Macaca mulatta: one gene and its partner. The protein of the gene in region 2 purifies or fractionates together with the protein of the main gene of each other region. This does not show direct contact. Links are inferred from orthologs where the notes say so. Each region holds a gene or a part of one and is shown on either strand. Other genes may lie near its edges.

What was found.
Region 1: the proteins of TONSL (region 2) and ASF1B purify together in Homo sapiens (affinity purification with mass spectrometry; 5 studies listed by BioGRID and IntAct, counting the BioPlex papers as one, with this or other methods). This does not show direct contact. The link is inferred for Macaca mulatta from reciprocal best matches to the Homo sapiens genes TONSL and ASF1B.

What each region holds. Positions count from the first base shown.
Region 1 is NC_133424.1:14,720,442-14,728,225, forward strand, and holds the start of ASF1B (histone chaperone ASF1B), read right to left. Parts: upstream 4,239-7,784; 5' UTR 3,626-4,238; coding exon 3,517-3,625; exon of another isoform or gene 3,417-3,516; intron 2,174-3,416; exon of another isoform or gene 1,179-2,173; intron 1-1,178. UniProt on the Homo sapiens protein: Histone chaperone that facilitates histone deposition and histone exchange and removal during nucleosome assembly and disassembly. Cooperates with chromatin assembly factor 1 (CAF-1) to promote replication-dependent chromatin assembly.
Region 2 is NC_133413.1:154,863,423-154,871,350, reverse strand, and holds the start of TONSL (tonsoku-like protein), read left to right. Parts: upstream 1-3,847; 5' UTR 3,848-3,964; coding exon 3,965-3,989; intron 3,990-4,103; coding exon 4,104-4,199; intron 4,200-4,369; coding exon 4,370-4,512; intron 4,513-5,081; coding exon 5,082-5,265; intron 5,266-5,591; coding exon 5,592-5,721; intron 5,722-6,005; coding exon 6,006-6,177; intron 6,178-6,266; coding exon 6,267-6,381; intron 6,382-7,484; coding exon 7,485-7,630; intron 7,631-7,720; coding exon 7,721-7,873; intron 7,874-7,928. UniProt on the Homo sapiens protein: Component of the MMS22L-TONSL complex, a complex that promotes homologous recombination-mediated repair of double-strand breaks (DSBs) at stalled or collapsed replication forks.

The DNA of each region.
Region 1 (7,784 bases), on a different chromosome or scaffold from region 2:
CTCCCATTTCAGCCTCCTCAGTAGCTGGGACCACAGGCACATGCAACCAAGTCCCATTAATTTTTTGATGTTTCTGTAGAGACAACGTTTTGCTATGTTACCCAGGCTGGCCTAAAACTCCTGGGCTCAAGAGAGCCTTCTTCCTTAGCCTCCCAAAGTGCTGGGATTACAGGAATGAGCCACCTCGCACAGCTGGATTGGGGGTTTTGTCAAGATTTTCAGTTGACACTGCTGAGAGTGAGCCAGATTCTCTTTTTCATGGAGAGGAGGCCAGAAAGAGGCAGAAAGCAAGCTGGCAGATCAGTCACAGAGAGCCCTAGGACTGGAAGAGCCAGGATTTCTCACTTGAGTTTCTTGAAGGAAAAGCTTTATCATCCGGGTGCAATTAACAATAGCATTCCCTGGCCGCGTGCTTGTGATTCAAAGTGTAATCCCAGCACTTTGGGAGGCTGAGGCGGGCAGATCACTTTCGGTCAGGTTTGAGATCAACCTGGCCAACATGGTGAAACCTCATCTCTACTAAAAATACAAAAATTAGCCGGGCATGGTGGCTCAAGCTTGTAATCCCAGCTACTTGGGAGACTGAGACCACAGAATCGCTTGAACTCAAGAGGTGGAGATTGCAGTGAGCTGAGATCGCGCCACTGTACTCTAGCCTGGGTGACAGAGTGAAACTCCATTTCAAAAAATAAATAAAATAAAATAATAATAATAATAATAGCATTCCCCTTTACTGTGTTTTGAGTATCCTGATTAGGCAATAAATTGTATGGTCATTCCTATCTATGCTCCACCTCTGAAATAGGGAATCCTTCTTCCTTTCTTTCCCTGGATCGGAGCAAAGATAAAGAACTTAGATTCAAAACTTCAGTGCCAATATTTCTACAAACTGGCTGGGTGACCCTGGATAAATCACTCCATTTCTATTAAAAGATGACCAGCAGAGGCTGGGCACGGTGGCTCATACCTGTAATCCCAGCATTTTGGGGGGCTGAGGCGGGCAGATCACCTGAGGTCAGGAGTTCGAGACCAGCCTGGCTAACATGGTGAAACCGCATCTCTACCAAAAACACAAAAATTAGCTGGGCGTCATAGCAGGCACCTGTAATCCCAGCTACTCGGGAGGCTGAGGCAGGAGAATTGCTTGAACCCGGGAGGCGGAGGTTGCGCCACTGCACTCCAGCCTGGGGGACGAGAGTGAGACTTCGTCTCCAAAAAAACAAAAAAAGGAGCAGCAGGTTGAATTTAGCCTTTCTGCCTCTAATTCTATAAATAAGTAAAGTCACAGGGCAGGGGCTTCCTAGGAGAAGTACCAGATAATGACCACACAACCATTTTTAAATGCAAGGAACACAAACAGGCTGATTGAAACCTGATCTCCTGCCGCCTGGGAGCTGGGAATCCCTCAACCTATTACTTCCTTCCATTTCCTCCTGGCTTTTAAATTAAATCTTATTCCACAGTGTCATTCTACACTTTATTTATTTATTTACACGCTGCCCTGTTCCAGAAAGGATTTAACTCGGCTTATTCTATAGTTAGCCACAAGTAGACTGCTTAATTTAAAAAGGAGCAAGACAGACCGGGGAGAGAGAGACCCACTGGCCTACCCGAAGCACATCCACATCTCACTCTATCAGCCCCAAGCTAGTCCAGGTGACCAGCTTTGAGGGCCAAACACCCACCTGCCCCCGAAAGGCACTAGTTAGCACATCCTGGCTTCACAGGCCCCCAGATCGCTACCTCCTCGGCTACTGCCTTTTCTCTTTTAACCACCAAGTAGAAAAATGGCCTAATGGAGTACTTCTTTCTGAAAGCAGGACTTGCATTTTAGTGGTGCCAAGGCTCCCTGGGTGACCTTAGATTTTGGATTTGTACAGGCCTTGACTTGAAAGGTCTTTTGCGCTTTGTGGCTCCTGTCTTCTCATCTGTGAGATGAGAGCCATGTCCACCTTTAAGTCACACAGATTAACAAGTACATCTGCAGAAGCACCTTGGAAAAGATGTACAGGAGGCTGTGACCTCCGGGCTCCAGGTGACTGTTTGAAGCTGGAGCCTGTCACAGCTCAGCCCAACCCACTCACCCTCCAGACTAGGTCAGACCATCAAAAGCAATGGAAGCTTGGCACTGATTATCCAGCTATATTAAAAAAAAAAAAGAAAAAAAAAAAAGACCGGGCGCGGTGGCTCACGCCTGTAATCCCAGCACTTTGGGAAACCAAGGTGGGTGGATCACTTGAGATCAGGACTTCGAGACCAGCCTGGCTAATGTGGTGAAACCCTGCCTCCAACTAAAAATACTAAAATTAACCGGGCATGGTGACAGGTGCTGGTAGTCCCAGCTACTCGGGAGGCTGAGGCAGGAGAATTGCTGAGATCGTGCCACTGCATTTCAGCCTGGGCAACAGAGCAAGAGTCTGTCTCAAAAAAAAAAAAAAAGAAAAAAGAAAAAAAAGAAGAAAGAAAAAGCGAGGGAAGAACTGCTGTAGTAACTCAGTTGGAAATGGGTGGGCAAACCTGGAGAAGCAGCTAATACCTGCCTGGCTATGCCAGCCCTCAGATCTCAGTGTGTTTATCCAAGTCCACAGAAGAGGGTGGGGAAGGGGAGCTGGGGAGACCAAGTTCCCCTCAAAGACGGTAGCATCCTTTCCCAGGGGGAGCTCAAGCATAGCAGGGGTTGGGCCCCAACGAAGGAGGAACCAGGTTCCAGGGTATGTGCAATGGCAGAAAAGCAACAGCAACTGGTGCGGGTGGGGTTGTTGAAATATTGGCAGGTTGGGGAGGGGATTGGTGGGAGACAAATGGGAAGATGGGGGCGAGGGCGGTCCTGAAAAGGGGTTGAGGGGTTTTCACAGCGAAAAACGGTTACTGGTGGGGAGCGTCTTCACGGTGAGGAGGGAAAGGAGCTTGCGTGAGAGATCTCCATAGGGAAAATAGCAGATGGCTAGGATTTCCCCCGGGGAAAATGGGAAGGGGCTGGACATTCGGAGTCTCCAGAGGGAAAATGGGAGGTGTGAGTATCTCACTAAAGAGGGAATAAGTGGGCAAAAATGGGTGGGTGGCTAAAGCGCGGGTCTTGCCACAGGGAAATCACGGTGGCTGAAGATCTCCGTGGCTTAAGAAATGGAGGCCAAGAAGATCTCTCCATGAAAACGGGTACCTAGGAAGACCTCCAGATTAAAAAGATGGATGAGGTTTCCCACGCGGGAAGTGGGGCTTGACTGGGGTTAATCTTTATGGGGAGGTCGGGGCGGGCAGTGGGGGAAGAGGTCACGGGGAGGTCCGAGTTAGCTAGCTGGGGGTCTCCACCCGGGAGGTCAAGGCGGGCAGTGGGAGAGGAGGTCACGGGGAGGTCCGAGTTGGCTGATGGCGGGGAGTCTCCACCCGGAGATCGGGATTGGCGGAAAGGGGACGAGGGGTTTCATGGGGGAGATCAAGTTGGCCATGGGAGCGCTTCTCCAAGGGGAGGCCGGGGTCGGCCCGGGGGTGGGGGTCCCCGCACGGGCCCAGCCTCACCGTCCGCCAGGGCTTCACTGCACTCGAAGCTGATCTCGAACCGGAAGGGGCTGTGGAAAGGGCTCGGGTTCTCCAGGACCGCCACGTTCAGCACCGACACCTTGGCCATCGCCTCGCCTCGCCTCGCCTCGCCGCGCCGCGCCGCGCCGCAGCAGGGGCAGGGGCAGGGGCAGGGCTGTGGCTGTGGCGGAGGCCGCGCCTGGGTCCGGTGAGTGGGGGGGCGTCAGTGGGGTACGGCAGACCAAGTCCACTCCCGCCTCTTCCCTCCGCGGACTGAAGTGCGCACCTAAACCGCGGACCGCCTTCAAATAGCCGGCCTCCGCCCTCTGGCCAATCACCGCCAACGCTCCCCTGGCGGCGCGCGCACCCCCTCAGCCAATCCTGGAGCGCCAGTCGGCGCGCGCCCAGACTCCCCGGACCAATCAGCGGAGCTCCCTCTCCGCGGCGTGTGAGGAGGGCGAAACCATCTCCAGGCTTCTTAGCGTGTCCGCTGGGAACCAATCCCCAGCGTCTCCGACTCGGATGTCAACGGCGGGAGTGGACGGAGTCAGAGCGCCGGACTCCTTCTGCCCAATCCTGAGGGTTCCCGCACCGGCGTAGCCCGCCCCTCGCCTCGCTTTTCCGGGAGCTGCATCCCGCACCGCGCAGCGCCGCCAACCGCCGAGCGGTGGCGCGCGGCGCTCGCTAAAGAAGGCGGGAAGGGCGGTGCTCGCACCCTCAGTGATTGGCAGGAGGGAGTGGGGCGGAGATAAAGAGGGTTTTCTGAGAGTTGATTGGCTGGATTGGTAATAGTGCCGGGAGCAGAATGAGGCTCAGCTGGGGATTCGCTGGAGAGAAGCGGAAGTCGAGCGCCGCCGCGGTGCTGGCGAGTGTGAAAAAAGAGGAGGAGGGTTGCGCCCTCAGCGTCTGTCAACAGGTGAGCGTAGTCTGGAGCTTTTCTGAGTGGCTCCTGACCCTTGAGGTCCAGCGGCCCTGGAGTCCGTTGTGAACGTTGCGAACGTTCGGAGTGGCGGTCACGCGGCGCGCTGGGACCTCGGGAGTCCAGCCCGGTTCGGATCCCGCTTTCGCCCACGAGGGGTTCGAATCCCGCTCTCGCCCCCGAGGGGTTTGGATCCCGCTCTCGCCCCCTCAAGGGCTCTTGGAAGGTTTCAAGCAGACGGTACTGAAAATGGGAGTTTCAGTTCGGGGGCAGACCAGTGTTCGAGTCCGGGCTCTGCTACTCAGCTCCTGAGGCAGCGTCTCTCCATTCAACGGGGGCAGTGGCAATTCCCTGACATGATTCATGACCGCACAATACATCCGGAAACTTCTCTCCGCCGCATCCCGTCGCCCCCGGCCTGGGAGACTCCAGGTCGCAGAGTCTCTGCCCCCACGGGCGATCAGCTCTACCCAGTGGAAAAATAATGCCAGCCGCGCACCTAATTTTACATTTTTTGGAAACCACTTTTTTTTTCTTTGAGACGGAATCTCGCTCTGTCACCCAGGCTGGAGTGCAATAGCGCGATCTCGGCTCACTGCAACCTCCACCTCCCGGGTTCAAGCGATTCTCCTGCCTCAGCCTCCTGAGTATCTGGGATTACAGGTGACCACCACCACAACCAGCTAAATTTTTTTCTGTATTTTTAGTAGAGACCGGGTTTCACCTTGTTGGCCAGGCTGGTCTCAAACGCCTGATCTCAAGTGATCCGCCCGCCTTGATCTTCCAGAGTGCTGGGTTTACAGGCATGAGCCACTGTACCCAGCCATATCTTTTTTTTTTTAATTTAAGATTTACTTTTTTTTTTTTTTTTTTGAGACGGAGTCTCGCTCTGTCGCCCGGGCTGGAGTGCAGTGGCCGGATCTCAGCTCACTGCAAGTTCCGCCTCCCGGGTTTACGCCATTCTCCTGCCTCAGCCTCCCGAGTAGCTGGGACTACAGGCGCCCGCCCCTGCGCCCGGCTAATTTTTTCTATTTTTAGTAGAGACGGGGTTTCACCATGGTCTCGATCTCCTGACCTTGTGATCTGCCCACCTCGGCCTCCCAAAGTGCTGGGATTACAGGCGTGAGCCACCACGCCCGGCCTAGTTTTTTTTTTTTTGTATTTTTTAGTAGAGACGGGGTTTCACCGTGTTAGCCAGGATGGTCTCGATCTCCTGACCTCGTGATCCGCCCGTCTCAGCCTCCCAAAGTGCTGGGATTACAGGCTTGAGCCACCGCGCCCGGCCAAGATTTACTTTTTTTTAAAAAAATTAAATTTTAGAGGCTGGGCATGGAGGATTTCTTGAGGCCAGGAGTTCAAGATCAGCCTGGGCAACATAACAAGACCTCATATTTACAAAAATATAAAAGAATAAGCCAGGTGTGGTAGTGCATACCTGTAGTCTCTGCTACTCCTGAAGCTGAGGCAGGAGGATCTCTTGAGCCCAGGATGCTCCAGCCACTGCACTCCAGCCTGAGTGTCAGAGTGAGATCCTGTCTCTCAAAATTAAAATTAAATTTTAGGCCGGGCGCGGTGGCTCAAGCCTGTAATCCCAGCACTTTGGGAGGCCGAGACGGGCGGATCACGAGGTCAGGAGATCGAGACCATCCTGGCTAACATGGTGAAACCCCGTCTCTACTAAAATATACAAAAAACTAGCCGGGCGCGGTGGCGGGCGCCTGTAGTCCCAGCTACTCGGGAGGCTGAGGCAGGAGAATTGCGTGAACCCGGGAGGCGGAGCTTGCAGTGAGCTAAGATCCGGCCACTGCACTCCAGCCTGGGCGGCAGAGCAAGACTCCGTCTCAAAAAAAAAAAAAAAAAAAAAATTAAATTAAATTTTAGAAAAGAAAGTTCAGTTTAGGTGTCTTGATAGCCACAGTTGAGTGCTCCTGAACCCCTGTGACAAGTGGCTCCTGTATTACTGGACAGTGAAGGTCAAAAACACATTTGACCAGGTCACTTCTCAGGATGAGAGCATTGTCTTCGAAACTATGCTTTGTCTCCTCTTAACTACCTAGCTCCAATTTCAAACCAGCCTAAGTAACCCTCTTTTTGTTAAAAATCTGACAGGCCACTCCCAGTGCAAAGCTCTGCCCAGAACCTCTTCTTCTGGGCTCTTGGCTGGCTTATGCCTTCTCGTCATTCAAGTCTCTGTTCAAATGTCCTCTCCCCAGAGAGGGCTTTCTAAGGGTGCCCTGGACAGTGTTCAAAATCACAGGCCGTAAGCCTGAATAGCACTGATCAAAGGCACTAGTATTTCTTACCTAGTCACCTCTGGAAACAATCCAGTTCCTGTGGGATTTTTTTTTTTTTTTTTAAACAGAGCTCTGTTTCCCAGGCTGGAGTGAAGTGGCATGATCATGGCTCACTGTAACTTGGAACTCTTGGGCTCAAGTGATCCTCCCACCTCAGCCTCCCAAGTAGCTGGGATCACCAGTGCGTGCCACCATGCCTGATTTGTTTTACTTTTTTTTTTTTTTTTTTTTTTTTGAGAGGGAGTCTTGCTCTGTCACCCAGGCTGGAGTGCGGTGGTGCGATCTCGGCTCACTGCACCCTCCTGCTTCTGGCTTCAAGCGATTCTCCCACCTCAGCCTCCTGACTATATGGGACTACAGGCACACGCTACCTTGCCTGGCTAATTTTTGTATTTTTAGTGAAGATGGGGGTTTCACCATGTTGGCCAGGCTGGTCTCAAACTCCTAACCTCAGGTGATCCACTCGCCCCAGCCTCCCAAAGTGCTGGGATTACAGGCATGAGCCACCATGCCCTGCCTGTTTTACTTTTTAAATTTTTTGTAGAGACAGGGTCTCGCTGTTGCCCAAGCTGCTCTTGAAACTTCCGGCCTCAAGCAGTTCACCTATCTTGTCTTTAAATGCTGAGATTACAGCGCCTAGCCCATTTTTTTTGGTGTGTACATCTCACATTAAGAAAAAATTTTTTTAGCTGTTAAAAAAAATTGAAAGCTTTTTAATATTCTTTTGAAATTATTTGGCTTCAAGGAAGCTCACATTTATGATTCCTTTGATTTCTTGGCAATCGTTGCATACTTGGGGATATTTGTGATTTGAGAAAATCTAATTTCCAAATGTAATTCGATTGCTTATGAATACTAAATTTAATGATTAATGCAGTTGTCATGATGTCATATTTCTAGATGCTTATTTAAATATTTATTCATTCCAACTTTGTAGTTTTATCTTTGCATTGTGGAACTTTTTTCCCTTTATCCCTATCCCTGACCTTTTCATAGCCCCTGAGAAGCTCATGAGCCACCAGCATTATTTCCGTGGCGCTAATGAAGAAAGTGGC
Region 2 (7,928 bases):
CTGGGGGGCAGAATGCAAGTGCCATCATCCGGGCGGCTGACCATGGCACAGCCCAGCATGACCCTCCCAGTCAGCTCTTCCCTCCTGAGCTGCCGCACTGCCCCTCACAGGCTGCAAGCTTCTGGGCTTTTTCTGAGAGTCCTGTGGGTTTCTACTCCCAGGCCAGGGCGTGTGGCCTGCTGGGAGTGCTTCGCTGCCGGAGCCTTATATCCCACAAAGCTGATGTGGCCTGGCCACCAAGGGCATGGGAAGGCCCCATGGTTGGTTTTCTGCTGTCCACAAAGAAAGACCCCACCCAGCCCCCAGCACATCCTTGGGAGCAGCTGCCTCTGACTCAGGCACCACCAGGGCTGCGATTTGGGGCTGCCCTCCGCCATGCTCCACCCACAGGCACAGAGGGATGGGCTGTGGCTCCGCATCTCCGTGTCTTTGGAAGCCCGACACCCTCTTGGGCAGTGTTTCTGGGTCCAAGGTGATGGTGTGGGGGGCATGGGTGGGGCAGGCTTGCCCTGTCACCTGTTTGGGTGCGTGTGTGAGAGACTGACTCAATGGAGGGACAGGCCCCGGCATGTCTCTGGGGTGGGGAAGGTGGGAGGCTTGTTCTTCATGGGTTCAGCTGGGCTGGGATGCCAGGGGCCTGGAGGCAGCACATCTCTGCAGGTTGGGGGGCCACATGGAGAAAGGAGACCTGGGGCTGTTGAGGTCCTGCAGCCCCACATGCACAGTCCTCGGGCAACCAGTCCTGTGGGAGTTCAGGACAGGAGGGGCCGGCCTGAGGGTAAGGGCAGTGTCCACACAAGGCCCTTCAAGATGTGGGTGCCTCAAGTCTGCAAACGCGGCCCAGTGTCCTCAGCAGGGCATCTGCCCCGTGACCATGACGTGCAGCAGCTGAAACTTACGACCTGGGGGAGCCAAGCACCTGGGAGGACCACAGTGTGTCCTCAGCCACCGGGCACTGGCACACAGGCTTCCCGTGGCATTGTCAATGTGGGCCACATGTGACGGGGCCGCCGCACACACGGCTTGTGTTCAACACCCTGAGACATCTTGGCATCCCGACCTGCTCCTTTGTCATCTCGGAGGATGGGGGCGTGGGGGTCCGGACTCCGCAGAAGTGGGGCGGCATAGCCTAACCCAGGCCCCACGTTTCTCCCTCCCTTGTCTCACCCCCACCCCCTGGTGAGCACCACATCCCTCAATTTGCCCAGAGTGAGACATTTACAAAAATAATAAAAATAGGCCAGGCACGGTGGGTCACGCCTATAATCCCAGCATTTTGGGAGGCCGAGGCAGGCAGATGACCTGAGGTCAGGAGTTTGAGACCAGACTGACCAACATGATGAAACCCCATCTCTACTAAAAATACAAAAATTAGCTGGGCGTGGTGAGGGGTGTCTGTAATCCCAGCTATTCAGGAGGCTGAAGCAAGGAGAATCGCTTGAACCCAGGAGGCGGAGGTTGCGGTGAGCTGAGGTCCTGCCATTGCACTCCAGCCTGGGTGACAGAGTGAGACTCTATCTCAAAAAACAAAAACAAAAACAAAAATTAGCTGGGCGTGGTGGTGGGCATCTGTAATCCCAGCTACTCAAAAGGCTGAGGCAAGAGAATCACTTGAACCTGAGAGAAGGAGGTTGCAGTGAGCCCGGATCACACCATTGTACCCCAGCCTAGGCAACAAGAGAAATTGGATTGTCTCTGAAGGGGAATTGGGCTTCCAGGAGCTGGGCTGTCCTGTTGACCCTGGGGCTGGAGGGGATACTTAATCGTTGTCTAGGTAGCTCAGGGAGCCCCTCTGGTATCCAAGTCACCCTGTCTTCAGCTGTTCACCTGAGTCTTCTGCTTCTGAATCTCACTCTTCACTCCCTCCCTCGAGCCTCACTGTGCCCCTCGCACACCTCACCAGCTTGCCCACCAAGTAGTTGCCTTGGCTCAGAGCCATGCTTTGGATGGGTAAGGGGTTGGCAGTGCAGGCCTCCACAACCTGTCCTCACACCCAAGCCTGCCTGGATTTCCCGCCTCCTGCACCTTGGCCTGCACAGGTGTGCAGGCTTGGCCTAGTCCCACCCTCGGTGCCTTGGAGGCACCGAGGCCCAAATCTGCCCAGTCCTGGGGCCACGCCAGGTGGCAGCCTTTACTGGACCCAGGGACCTGTCAGTGCGTCATGGCACTCTCTCCCCAACAGACCTCTCTGGCGGAGTTTTGCCCAACGACTTGCTGTAATTACGATGGAAATTAACCCATCTATCTTCCACTCCTTCTGAGGCTCCTCAGTTGGACTCTGTGCACCCAGCCTCCTCTGGGACCTCTGGAAAACCAGTCACCGCACCTGAGTGCAGTGCTGGGTGTGCTGTGTAGCCGGGAGTCAGAGACCCAAGGCATGGCAGGCATTTGGTCCTCAAGGTCATGGGGGACAGCAAGGGTATTTTAGAGGCCTGGGTGCCCCATATCATAGAACTCTAGACATAATTTTGCAGTCGTTTTCTCTCTCTCTTCCTTTTTTTTGAGATGGAGTCTTACTCTGCCGCCCAGGCTGGAGTGCAGTGGTGCGATCTCGGCTCACTGCAAGCTCCGCCTCCCAGGTTCACACCATTCTCCTGCCTCAGCCTCCCGAGTGGCTGGGACTACAGGCACCCGCCACCATGCCCGGCTAATTTTTTGTATTTTTTGTAGAGACAGGGTTTCACCGTGTTAGCCACGATGGTCTCGATCTTCTGACCTCGTGATCCGCCCGCCTTGGCCTCCCAAAGTGTTGGGATTACAGGCGTGAGCCCAGGAAGAGTGCGCCTGGCCCTCTCTTCCTCTTTCTTTTCCTCCCTCCCTCCTTTCTTTTTTTTAAATAAAAATGGGGTATCAGGCCGGACGTGCTGGCTTATGCCTATAATACCAGCACTTTGGGAGGCCGAGGTAGGCGGATCACGAGGTCAGGAGTTTGAAACCAGCCTGGCCAGCATGGTGAAACCCCGTTTCTACTAAAAATGCAAAAATTAGCCGGGCATGCTGGCACATGCCTGTAGTCCCAGCTACTTGGAAGGCTGAGGCAGTAGAATCGCTTGAACTCAGGAGGAGGAGGTTGTGGTGAGCTGATATCGCACCATTGCACGCCAGCCTGGGCGACACAGCGAGACTCACACACACACACGCACACACACAAAAAGATGGGGGTCTCACTATGTTGCCCAGGCTGGTCTCGAACTGCTAGGCTCAAGCGATCCTCCTGACTGCACCTCCCAAGGCGCCTGGATTACAGTGCGGGCCAGTGCGCCCGGGCTACTTCTGCAGCTTAAGCGCAGGTTCACTGACTCTTCCGAGAATACAGCTGACATATACGTTGCTGAAACGGTACTTGTTCACTACGGAAAGCACATTCCCCTACCAGAACATTCCTTGGGGCCGAGTCCCCAAATGTGACCCACTGCGTTCTGTGGAGGAGGAGCGCACCTTATTCCGTCCCCACAGCCAAATACTCGTGAACTTATCGTCAGTCTTCTATCTGGACCCTACGTGCGTTTTTCACAGTTGCGCGTGTGAGCAGGTTGTGTGTGAATTTCAGGAGGAACTGGGGCGGCGGCACAGCTCGTCCACCTTGAGAGGCGCGGGCGGCACGCGGGCTGCAGTTCAGAAGAGCCCACCCAGGGCGCGCTGCGACCCCGGCCTCCCGTGTCCCCGCCTCCTGCGAGGAGGAACGGGGTCCCCATCAGGCACTCCCCGGGCAGGGCAGAGGGCTCCACGCGCGGGCCAACCCCGGCGTCCGGGAAGATAACTCCTCGGGTCGACGCCCTAGTTGTCGCCGCGTCCCCGCCCCAGCTCCTCCCACACTAGAACTTCGAGGATGTCGCGGGCGGACCGTACTTCCCAGCATGCCCCGCGCCCACCGCCGCCGTCGAGGGGCGGGGCCTACGTGTCGGCGGCGAGGGGCGGGGCCGCGGCGCAGCGCGGGAAGTCCAGATCCCGCGGCGACCCGAGCATGAGCGTGGATCGCGAGTTTCGCCGTGAGTCCCTCGGGGGCCCCTTGCGCCGGGGGCGCGGAGGCTAGGGAGGGTCTGGGACTCGGCCCCGGCCCCGAATCCCGCCGCGGAGGCTCAGCTCTCCTCTTCCTCCGACAGAGCTGAGCAAGGCGAAGGCCAAGGCGCAGAGGGCCGGGCAGCGGCGCGAGGAGGCAGCGCTGTGCCACCAGCTGGGGGAGCTCCTGGCCGGCCATGGTGAGCGCTGGGACCAGGAAGCGGGGTGCACGGCCGGGGGCTGGGGGCTGGGGGCTGGGGCCCGCGCCGGGGTCGGGGGCCGGGGGTCGACGGGCTCTTCCCGCAGACGCCGCCCCAGGTCCGCCCTCGCACCCGCGACGCCTGCCAGGCCGTGCTGTGTCCCCGCCTAGGCCGCTACGCCGAAGCCCTGGAGCAGCACTGGCAGGAGCTGCGGCTCCGGGAGAGCGCTGACGACCCCCTGGGCTGTGCCGTGGCCCATCGCAAGATCGGAGAGCGCCTGGCCGAGATGGAGGACTACCCGACTGCCTTGCAGGTGCGGGCGCCCTCACTGGCCTCGCCCAGCCCGGTCGGCCTCTGTTTGGAGCCCTTTTCTGAGGAGGGAGGCCCGGTCTTCACCGTCAGGAGCCTCGGGCTGGAAGGGACACCTGGCCTGACGCAGCCTTAACTTCACCGCGCCGGCCCAGTCCTCCAGTGGGGACCCCCCAGCCTTTCCTGGGACTGGGGCAGGAGTAGGTTTCCTGGCACCAGAAACCATTAATGAATGTTATTTTAGCTGTGTTTGTGTTGGGGGTGGTCAGGCCCCAGCCCGAAAGCTCTCCCTGACCCTGGCTGCTGGAGGCAGGACTGCAAACCCCCACCCCACCAATCCCCAGCCGCCCCTCCCCACGTGACAGCGTTGGCTGCATACAGCGTGAAGCCACTGTCACCACAGAGAGGCCTTGGCATGCAGAGGAGGGGCATGTGGCCGACCTTGGCCTGCTCTGTGGGGGTTAAGGGGAGCAGGAGTCTTTCCTTAGCAAGAACAGGGTCTCTGGGAATCTGGCAGCGCTGGTTTGCTTGAGGCGGGGTCAGCTCACAGCAGTGACTTCCTTCCACACTCAGCACCAGCACCACTACCTGGAGCTAGCACATTCCCTGCGCAACCACACGGAGCTGCAGAGGGCCTGGGCCACCATCGGCCGCACCCACCTGGACATCTATGACCACTGCCAGTCGAGGGATGCTCTGCTGCAGGCACAGGCTGCCTTTGAGAAGAGCTTGGCTATTGTGGATGAGGAGCTGGAGGGTGGGCAGGCCCCTTCTCGTTTTCTGCCTCCTGAACTGCAGGCTGAAGAGGCTGCAGCCCAGCACCCCCGCAGCCTCCTTGGGCGATCTCGTCTTCTGGGGCCCTCCCTTTGCAGGGCTCTTGTGTGAGGGGTGCATGCCCTCCGCAACCTTTTCCCTGGAGATCCTCGGCTCTTTATCCACTCTGTGCTCTGTCTGCAGCAGGACCCTTGCCCCAACATCGGGAGGAGGGAGAGGGTAGGAGAGGCACTGCACAGGCCCCAAATGGGGCCCAAAGCTGGAAACCCCATGTGGGGAGAAAGTGGCTGAGTGGGGGGCATCTTCCAGGGACACTGGCTCAGGGAGAGCTGAATGAGATGAGGACCCGCCTCTACCTCAACCTGGGTCTTACCTTTGAGAGCCTGCAGCAGACAGCCCTGTGCAACGATTACTTCAGGAAGAGCATCTTCCTTGCGGAGTAAGGCCCCACCCCACCCCAGGAGAGAGTGGAGTCCCTTGTTCCTGGAGGAAGTAGTTAGGGGAGTATTTCTCCCAGGGTCCTCCTGAGAGAGCACCCTGGCTGGGCCTCATCCCCCACCTCTCACACCTGTGCCTCACACTGGGCGAAGACCAGGCATGGTTAGGGCCCTGAGACCATAGCATGGCAGGGCTGGGGCCTGTGTGGCATCAGCAGCTATCACCGGTGGGACGCTCCTGGGTGCTCAGGAGCTCGTAGGTGCTCAGGCCATCACTCCTCTGCAGGCAGAACCACCTTTACGAGGACCTGTTCCGCGCCCGCTACAACCTGGGCACCGTCCACTGGCGCGCGGGCCAGCACTCCCAGGCTATGCGCTGCTTGGAGGGTGCCCGGGAGTGTGCGCACACCATGAGGAAGCGGTTCATGGAGAGCGAGTGCTGCGTGGCCATCGCACAGGTACCCGCTGTGTGTGGTTCCGAGCTCAGGCTCCTGGAGACTTGGGCCTTGGGGATTTTGCAAAAACCGTGCTGTCCTTTGCTCTCCAGGTCCTCCAAGACCTGGGAGACTTTCTGGCTGCCAAGCGAGCCCTGAAGAAGGCCTACAGGCTGGGCTCCCAGAAGCCTGTGCAGAGAGCAGCCGTCTGTCAGAACCTCCAGCATGGTGAGCCTGGGGCCGGGGTGGGGCCCAGGGGGTGTGGGGTGGGGGGGGGTGAGGGGGGTGAACCTCCCGCATGGTGAGCCTGGGGCCAGGGTGGGGCCCCGGGAGTTGTGTGCAGGGGCGAGCCCAGGGGGGCGTGGAGTCCTGCCAGGTGTGTACGGAGCTCCCTCCCTCACAGAGGAGGCATGAGCACCTGTCCTTGGAGGCAGCAGCTTCCGCAAGAGGGACAGGTGCCCTAGTTCCTGACAGGAGAAAACCCCCGTTTTTCTCTGAGCTCAACACAGTGTGTCAGGGGCACTGAAAGGGCGGCCAGGAGACCAGTTGGGCTTTTATTTTGCAGCCACCATCTTCACTGGCAAACTGGAGACAGTAGTTGCTCCCCTAGCTTCCCGGGTGGAACAGCAGGTGGCACGCATGTGGTCCAGGAGTGCTGATGGCCGAGACCACCACTGGAGGTTGGCAGCAGTCAGCCCTTGCTATGAGCCAGGCACCATCCAAGTTTTTTTTTTTTTTTTTTTTTGAGACGGAGTCTCGCTCTGTCGCCCAGGCTGGAGTGCGGTGGCACTATCTCGGTTCACTGCAAGCTCCGCCTCCCAGGTTCACGCCATTCTCCTGCCTCAGCCTCCCGAGTAGCTGGGACTACAGGCGCCCGCCACCATGCCCGGCTAATTTTTTTGTATTTTTAGTAGAGACGGGGTTTCACTGTATTAGCCAGGATGGTCTTGCTCTCCTGATCTCATGATCTGCCTGCCTCAGCCTCCCAAAGACCTAGGATTACAGGCGTGAGCCACTGTGCCTGGCCCCAAGTTTTTAAGTGTGTTAGTTCTTGTGACCCTTGAGACCAGTTCCCAAGATAGACCCTCCTGTTAACCCCCACATAAACAGGCAGGCAGAGGGAGAGGGTAGAGGGGCCACGACAGGGCTCAGCAGCAACAGCTGGAAGAGGCCGAGGAGCCTGTCCGTGAGGCCTGTTGGGGGATGTTCCAGGGAAGGCTGTGACTTCAGCTCTGAACTCAAGGGGGTTGTTAGAACCCCGAGTGGCCAGATGGTAGAGCTGGGGTCAGGGCCTCCTGTGTTGCCCTCCTGCATGAACCTCTTCTTGGCAGTGCTGGCAGTGGTCCGACTGCAGCAACAGCTGGAAGATGCCGAGGGAAGTGACCCTCAGGGCGCCATGGCCATCTGTGAGCAGCTAGGTGACCTCTTCTCCAAGGCAGGAGACTTTCCCAGGGCAGCTGAGGCTTACCAGAAGCAGGTGTGTGGCCCCGGCTGGGTGGGAGGGCCAGTGAGGTTGGCGAGGCCTGGCCAGGGTGGCAGCCCCCAGCCTCACTGGCACTGCCCCCAGCTACGTTTCGCTGAGCTGCTGGACAGACCGGGTGCCGAGCGGGCCATCATCCACGTGTCCCTGGCCGCCACACTGGGAGACATGAAGGACCACCGTGGGGCCGTGCGCCACTATGAGGAGGAGCTGAGGCTGCGCAGCGGCAATATGCTGGAGGTGAAACCCTGGCTCCCCACCCGAATGCAGGTTCACCCATGTCTCTGCCTCAGGA